Macaca fascicularis: one gene and its partner. The protein of the gene in region 1 interacts with the protein of each later gene in a biochemical or structural test. Links are inferred from orthologs where the notes say so. Each region holds a gene or a part of one and is shown in the gene's direction. Other genes may lie near its edges. The genes, in order: UBE2B and UBR1.

Region 1 (3,919 bases):
TGTGGGAGGTCAACACCTCTGAACCCCCTGGTGGTGGGGGGGCACTTCTCGCCCATTTGCACCTTTCTTGCTAGTGTAAAAAACCTGAAGTTGTCTCAGGCTGGATAGATAACCCTCACTCAGGTCTGCTGGAGCTCTCCCCCACATATGAATCATATTTGTAGGTTTCTTTGACAACCAACCACTCATTGATATGCTTGGAAGACTGCACCCCCACATTCTTAAAAATACAATGGTACTCCCCCCCATAGGCAAGTCCCCGGACTCTGACACATATCTTCAATTGAAAGCAGACCCAGAAAGGAAAAACTGCATAATACACCATCCTTTAATGTTTGCCCAGAATTTCCAATACTAGAAACCCCACTGCAAAGCAGAAAGACTATTTGGTAGCTTCAAGGAACCATTTCAGGAGATTGTTGTGTGGCCCTCAGTATTCAATGCTGCCTTAGAAGATCTTGCGATCCTCTCTCTTCTTGCCCCAAGTACCAGAGTTCATAAGCCACTGAACCAACCAGAGGGGAGTTATTTTTGGTCCCGGTTTAAAGAAAACAAAACAAGCTGTTGATCCTCCCACGACCTCTTGGGTAATGTCTCTATACCTGTGATAAACCGAAAACAACTAATAAAGGTGTATCCAGCCCTCACCCTCTTAGACCCGCTTCACAGACCTGGCCGAAACTCACATCCAGGCGAGGCTCTCACGTGACCCGTTCTAAACGCGTCACAGGGACACGTGGTTCTAGATACTTCTCCCCCTCCCCCTCAGGGGTGGATTGTTGACAAGGCCGCGGGCAGTCACGTGATCTTACATCATCCCACCTCCTTTCCCTGAAATCCCTGGCCCGGATACGTCCTTCTTTCTCCACCCCGCCGAGCCTAAACTAGAGACGGGGAGGCAGACAGGATAGTGTGTCGGTTTCGTGGTCTCTGAATCCACAACCTCTAGTCTGAACACAGAGAACACAAATTTGTCGATCACTTCAGGAAGCCCAGGAAGAACCACGCCCCGCTGAAGGGCTCAGGGAACGCGCGCTCCCCCGTCCCGCCCCCTCCTCCCCCAGCACTCACTCTGTGGTAGCGGCGGAGGGCGGAGGGATCCGGAGGCGGCGGAGGGAGACGTCATTGCAGGGTTGTTTGTCAGTCTTGGCGGCGGCGGCGGCGGCGGCGGCGGCAGCGGCGATCCACAGTGATTCGGCCGCCGCGCCGGGGGGTGGGGGGGCTGCGCGGGACTCTTTTCTTTCAGACTGACCGCGGGGCAGCTGCGGAGCATGTCGACCCCGGCCCGAAGGAGGCTTATGCGGGATTTCAAGCGGTAAGGGCCTTCAGCTTCGCATAGATGACGGCCTCTCAAAGCTGCGGGGCTGCAGGGCGTGGATCCCGGACACCTTCCCCTTGTGACCCTCAGAGGGCCGGCTGTGGGCCCAGGGGGACTGGCGGAAGCCGGGTCCTACCTCGGCCCCTACTCTCCTTATCCTTGCCGCTCGCTCTGGCGCCCGAAGAAATTTCGATACTGCTTCCCCTCCCCCCAAAAAGTAAAACGATGTCGATCGACTGGTCTAGGGTTCCCCGCTGCCCATTTCGGCCAGCTGCCCGGGGTCTCGTCCAGGGGATCAGACGGGGATCAGACATCATCCTCCCGCCCCTGCACCCTGCGGAGACCCTTTCTTGTCCCCTCAAAGTGAGCTCCCGCGGGAGCTTGTTCTTCTCCGGCAGCACCAGTCAGCTTTGTTTCACGGCCCCTCAGTCTTCTCCGAGGAGCCGGGTTGGGGTGAACCTCCCCAGCCCCCCACCCTCGCCAGTCCTTTCCATTTCTGCCGTGAGGGTGGGGTCCAGTGCGTGAGGCTCGGAGGTTAACCCATCCCCCGAAACCCGACTCTGTCCCCGCCCGCCTGAAAAGACCTTGGGAACTGACTTAGAGATCTGGGACCTTAGAGCTGGCCACCCCGGCTGCCAGTGCCTTCTGGAACTCAGATCTGGCTGGTGAAGAAAGCCCTATCTATAGCCTCCCGAGTCTGGAAAAATGCCTTCCCTTAGACTGGCGCTAATTTGATACTCCCTGGGCCTTCTTTGGTAAATAAAATAGGGTTTTGTTAGGAGGTATTGGGGTTGTGAGGAAGAAAATGATTATTCCGTTAGTTTACCTTTTATTGGATACTTAGAGACGTAGAAAAAACAAAATAACGTAGAAAAAACAAAATAAGTGAGAAAACATTTTGATATTCTGCACATTTTTCTTAAAATTTTTTCTGGGGACACCTACCCTAATTGAACAAAATAGCATAAAAACATAGATTTGTCGCTCAGGAAGTCACCTCTCAGCTATTATAAAGCCTATGTGAGGCATTTGGATTTGGCCAACTTATTTAATTCATTCGTAGCTTCTCTTAGCCATTTAAAGGTAGGCGTCAAGCAGTGCAGTTCCTCTAAGGCTTCTGTTTGTGGTGGCCTAATTTGCTTGAGATTGACTAAAAACCTTTTTTTTTATGTGGACTAGTTGCAAATTATGATGCCCCATGAAAACAACTCCATATGTATTTGTGAGTGTGTATAATGTAGCATTTTTAATTGAGGTTACAGTCTCTGAAAGGAGATGCCCTTTTTGGTGCAAAAGTCATTTTTCTAAAGCTTGAAATCAGTGTATCTGATTAGCACTCATGACTAAAATTCAGATAGTAAACTAGTTCATGTCATTGTCGCCCTGGCTCCTTACTGTAATGCTCTGCTTAATTCTGAGTTGAATACATGGCACCTTTTGTAGTTTTCCAGAGATCTATAGGTTACAAGAATTTGACTATGACGAATGTGGGAAAGCCTTGTATTGAGTCTCCTGATTTGAGAGGTAGATTTGATGTTAGTGCAGAGCCTTTAAAATAGGGACTGGCGGAAAACCTACTGATTACTTTTTAAAGCCATTGCTGTTTGAAGCAAAAGGGATAGAGTAAATCTGCTGCCTAATACTAGTTTCCTAGTTAAATTTAATGTGTTTTCAGTCATTTCGTGTTTACACTGAGGTTTGCTTTTTTTTTTTTTCTTGTAGCCATTTTGCAGAAGTAGCCGTGGTTAGGATACACAGTCTTTGCATGTTTAGAGCAGCAAAATCAATGGTTCTGTAAAAATATTACTTGCTTTTGAGGTTTTAAACTTTTTTTGGTATAAGAGGACAGTCTATATACATCAATTCTTGAAGAGATACTCTTGATAATATTGAAAGAGGGATGATTCTCAAGCCCTTCGGATTTTTAGGTAATTTGGAGAGGTATTTAATAAGTATATATACCTGGTTAATATATCTAAGTCATATGGTTCATTTTAGTTCACAATAACAAGGAAATGGAGTTAGTCTGTGTCTCAAAATAGATGGTGTAGTGTCTGTAGGTGTTTATGTGGCCTCCTTAGTGGCCTTAATGTTCAACTTTTTAAATTACAACGCTGGATTTCTAGGTTACAAGAGGACCCACCTGTGGGTGTCAGTGGTGCACCATCTGAAAACAACATCATGCAGTGGAATGCAGTTATATTTGGGTGAGTTGAAAGGTTTAACAAATAATAGGTGTGTGCTGAATCTTTAAGAAAAGTGAACATATAACAACTGTCTAGGAAAAGAAACTGAGGTAGAATGAGAGATCTTAAGGACTAAAACTGCAAGATAAATTAGAAAAAAATTTTTTTCAATTAGAGTTTTGGCCCAGCACAGTAGCTCAACGCCTGGGAGGATCGCTGGAGCCCAGGAGTTCATCACCAGCCTGGGCGATATAGTGAGACAGTGAGACTCTGTCCCCTCTCCACCAAAAAAAGAGTTTTGGCCCAGTCTGGGCAACATAGTGAGAGACCTTGTCTCTACAAAAAGTATAAAACTAACTGGGCATGGTGGTGCCCAGCTACTTGGAAGGCCGAGGCAGGAGGATCACTTGAGCCC
Region 2 (3,819 bases), on another chromosome or scaffold:
AATTATATTGGAAACATAGAAAATCATTTAAATAACCAAGATAATGCAGATTAAACCCAATATTCAAGGTTAAAAAGTAAATCAAAGATAGAGTTTAGAATCATATCTGACAGGTTAGCTTTATGCTTTTCTCTTTTGTTACTATTACTTTTTTTGTTACTATATATCCTATTATGATATTGTGACACTTTGCTTGGACATTCCTAAGACAGTTTGTGATTAGACTTTAGACCTGATAACCTGTCTTTCTTTTTCCCTCCTTTTTATGCCTTGTACCAGAAACCCTAGACCCACTTTTCATGGATCCAGACTTGGCATATGGAACTTACACAGGAAGCTGTGGTCATGTAATGCATGCAGTGTGCTGGCAGAAGTAAGTTGTCCTTCTGACATGTTCTTGAAAGAGACTAGGAACATTGAAGTTCACTCAAGGCCACAAAAAGGCATGTTTTCTCATGTCTTCTTTCCTTTCTTCTTCTTTGAATGACTGAAACAGTTTTAATTACTAATTCTGTTTGCATGAATTATTATTATCAAAGTTGGAAAGTGGTGTGTAAAGTTACCAACTTTAGATTTTCACTGTTCCTTTGTGCTTGCTCTCCATAAACTAATCAGTTGCTCTTCATCAGTATTCATGTAAAAAAAGTAATGATTGGCTGGGCGTGGTGGCTCACACCTGTAATCTTAGCACTTTGGGAGGCCGAGGTGGGAGGATAACCTGAGGTCAGGAGTTTGAGACCAGCCTGGCCAACATGGTAAAACCCTGTCTCTACTAAAAATACAAAAATTAGCTGAGTGTGGTGGCACATGTCTGTAATCCCAGCTAGTCAAGAGGCTGAGGCAGGAGAGAATCGCTTGAACCCGGGAGGTGGAGGTTCCAGTGAGCCGAGATTGCGCCATTGCACTCCAGCCTGGGAGACAAGAGCGAAACGTAGTCTCAAAAAAATTAATAAGTACAACAAATAAATAATAAGTAAGTAATCTTTATAAAAATCTAATTTCCCTCAAAACATACTGCTGTGAAAAGTACCTTTGAAATAGAATAGGATGAATAGGACAAGAAGTTCTCATTCTATCTCTGGAAACTACAAAAATTCAAAAATGTAATTCCTGAGAAATCTTTTGTGTAGAGTTTACCCATTTGGCATTAGATTACAATATATAATTTTTCCAAGATAGCCCTCACTACTTCAGTTCATCATTAGAAACTGAGGAAAGTAGTGTCCATGCTGTATCACCATGCTTTTGAGGCAAGAGATGAGTTATGATTCAATAAACTTATTTAAAATTTATATCTGCTCTGATATATTTTCCAATTTATTCCCAAAATAATAGGCAACCTCTTTCTTCTATGATTACAACTTGTGTGTTTTTGCATGTATGTTCTAAAGATGTTTATTGAGGCAAAAATTCTAGATTTTTAAAACTTGGATTAGAGCAAGTAGAGATACACATATAGAGATGCATGTGTAGTTCTAAATGGGCCTGTATCTTTGTAATTTTGCAGATATTTTGAAGCTGTACAGCTGAGCTCTCAGCAGCGCATTCATGTTGACCTTTTTGACTTGGAAAGTGGAGAATATCTTTGCCCTCTTTGCAAATCTCTGTGCAATACTGTGATCCCCATTATTCCTTTGCAACCTCAAAAGATAAACAGGTATATTTTATGTTTTGGTTAATTTTTAAAAAGTTGGCCAGGTGCAGTGGCCTGTGATCCTTGCACTTTGGGAGACCGAGGTGGGTGGATTGCCAGAGCTCAGGGGTTCGAGACCAGCCTGGGTAACACGGTAAAACCCCATCTCTACAAAAAATAATAATAATAATAAGTTAGCCAGGCGTGGTGGCACATGCCTGTAGACCCAGTTACTTGAGCGGGCTGAGGTGGCAGAATCACTAGAGCCCAGGAGATTGAAGCTCCAGTGAGCCGAGATTGCGCCACTGCACTCCAGCCTGAGTGACAGAGTGAGACCCTGTCTCAAAAACAAATAGAAAGTTGTCTTTAGTTCTTTAATTTGTGCCTGTTTTTGTTAGATAACTTTTTTATTCTTCAAAGGAATTAATACTTTTTCATTTTATATCTTGTGTTATACTTTTAAAATGTGATCAAAAGCCTAATTTTTTTGGACTCTCAGAGAACTATAATGTTTATTTACTTGAATCTATATATTGTGGTTATATTTTCCAGCAGCCATTAAAGCAATAGAACTCTGAACTCTGCCTTAGCACTCACAAAAGGAGAAAAGATGCAAAAAAAATTCATTCCTTTCATATGGCCCTTTGCCATCATTAGATTTGCCAGTTGGAGTCTGATAGCTCGAATGATCCTTGTATTATTTTTAATTTCATTTTTCTGAAGATCCAAATGCTATAGCTCTAGAGATGTGGACAAATGTTAACTAAAAAAATTAAACAAAAACACTAGATTCATTTTATATATATAATATATATATATCATTTTATAGATATCTCTTTTAAATTTGTATATTCTGATATATTTTATATATTTTATATTCTGAGTTTTTAAATTTTTATATTCTGATCTGTAAATGGAATTTAACAGCAAATTATTAGTTTTTGTATGACAACTTGGAAATTTAATTATATATTTCTATATTCTCACTGTTCTACATGAGGATGACAGTACTATAATATTTATATTATTTCAGTTGCTTTAAAATGCAATGAATTTATAATGAGAAACCTGAATTCTGCTACAGAAAATTGTTTTGTTGATAAAAATACCTTTATGTCCCCATAAAAGTTCAAAGGTGATAGGTTTGGCGAGAAGGGTCAATATAAAGAGTTGTTCCGGCGGGACGTGGTGGCTTACATCTGTAATCCCAGCACTTTGGGAGGCTGAGGTGGGCGAATCACGAGGTCAGGAGTTTGAGCCCAGCCTGGCCAACATAGTAAAACCCGTCTCTACTAAAATACAAAAAAAGTAGTTGGGTGTGGTAGTGGGTGCCTATAATCCCAGCTACTTGGGAGGCTGAGCCAAGGAGAATCGCTTGAACCTGGGAGGCTGCGGTTATAGTGAGCCGAGATCTAGCCATTGCATTACAGCCTGGCTCTGTCTCAAAAAAAAAAAGAATTGCTCTAACCTTGGCTGGGCACAGTGCCTCACACCTGTAATCCCAGCACTTTGAGAGGCTGAGGCAGGCAGATCACCTGAGATCAGGAGTTTGAGACAAGCCTGGCCAATATGGCAAAACTCCGTCTCTACTAAAAATACAAAAATTAACCTGGCGTGGTGGCACATGCGTGTAATCCCAGCTACTCGGGAGGCTGAGACATGAGAATTGCTTGAACCCGGGAGGCGGAGGTTGCAGTGAGCCGATACCATGCCTTTGCACTCCAGCCTGGGCAACAGAGCGACACTCTCGTCAAAAATAAATAAATAAATAAATAAATAAATAAATAAAGAGTTGTTCTGATCTCTACTATTCCATGTCATTGATACACCTAAATTCAAATTGTCTTCTTCAACATATTTGGTAACATGAGAAAGAATTATCCTTGATTTGAGTAATTAATATATTTTAGGCATTCTGCAAAGCAAATGCTGCATTATCTTATTATCTTATTTAATTCTCACAGTAGTCTAGTGAAGTAGGTACTATTATTTCCATTTAAAGGAATTGGAGACTATGGATAGTTTTTATTTGTCCTAAGACAGATCTAAGATTCAAACCCAGACCTGACTCCTGACTCCAAAGCCTTACCTAACTGTACAGCAGAAGACAAAGATAAAGGAAATCGTAATAAAGTGACTTTCCAACTTCTTGTACAAGCCTTTTTTGCACAGTGGCTCCCCCAAAT

What was found.
Region 2: the proteins of UBE2B (region 1) and UBR1 form a complex in vitro, tested with the Homo sapiens proteins (2 studies listed by BioGRID and IntAct, with this or other methods). The link is inferred for Macaca fascicularis from reciprocal best matches to the Homo sapiens genes UBE2B and UBR1.

What each region holds. Positions count from the first base shown.
Region 1 is NC_088380.1:140,910,855-140,914,773, forward strand, and holds the start of UBE2B (ubiquitin-conjugating enzyme E2 B), read left to right. Parts: upstream 1-1,142; 5' UTR 1,143-1,271; coding exon 1,272-1,315; intron 1,316-3,444; coding exon 3,445-3,525; intron 3,526-3,919. UniProt on the Homo sapiens protein: E2 ubiquitin-conjugating enzyme that accepts ubiquitin from the ubiquitin-activating enzyme E1 and transfers it to a E3 ubiquitin-protein ligase. In vitro catalyzes 'Lys-11'-, as well as 'Lys-48'- and 'Lys-63'-linked polyubiquitination.
Region 2 is NC_088381.1:19,608,832-19,612,650, reverse strand, and holds part of UBR1 (E3 ubiquitin-protein ligase UBR1), read left to right. Parts: intron 1-279; coding exon 280-373; exon of another isoform or gene 374-443; intron 444-1,507; coding exon 1,508-1,657; intron 1,658-3,819. UniProt on the Homo sapiens protein: E3 ubiquitin-protein ligase which is a component of the N-end rule pathway. Recognizes and binds proteins bearing specific N-terminal residues that are destabilizing according to the N-end rule, leading to their ubiquitination and subsequent degradation.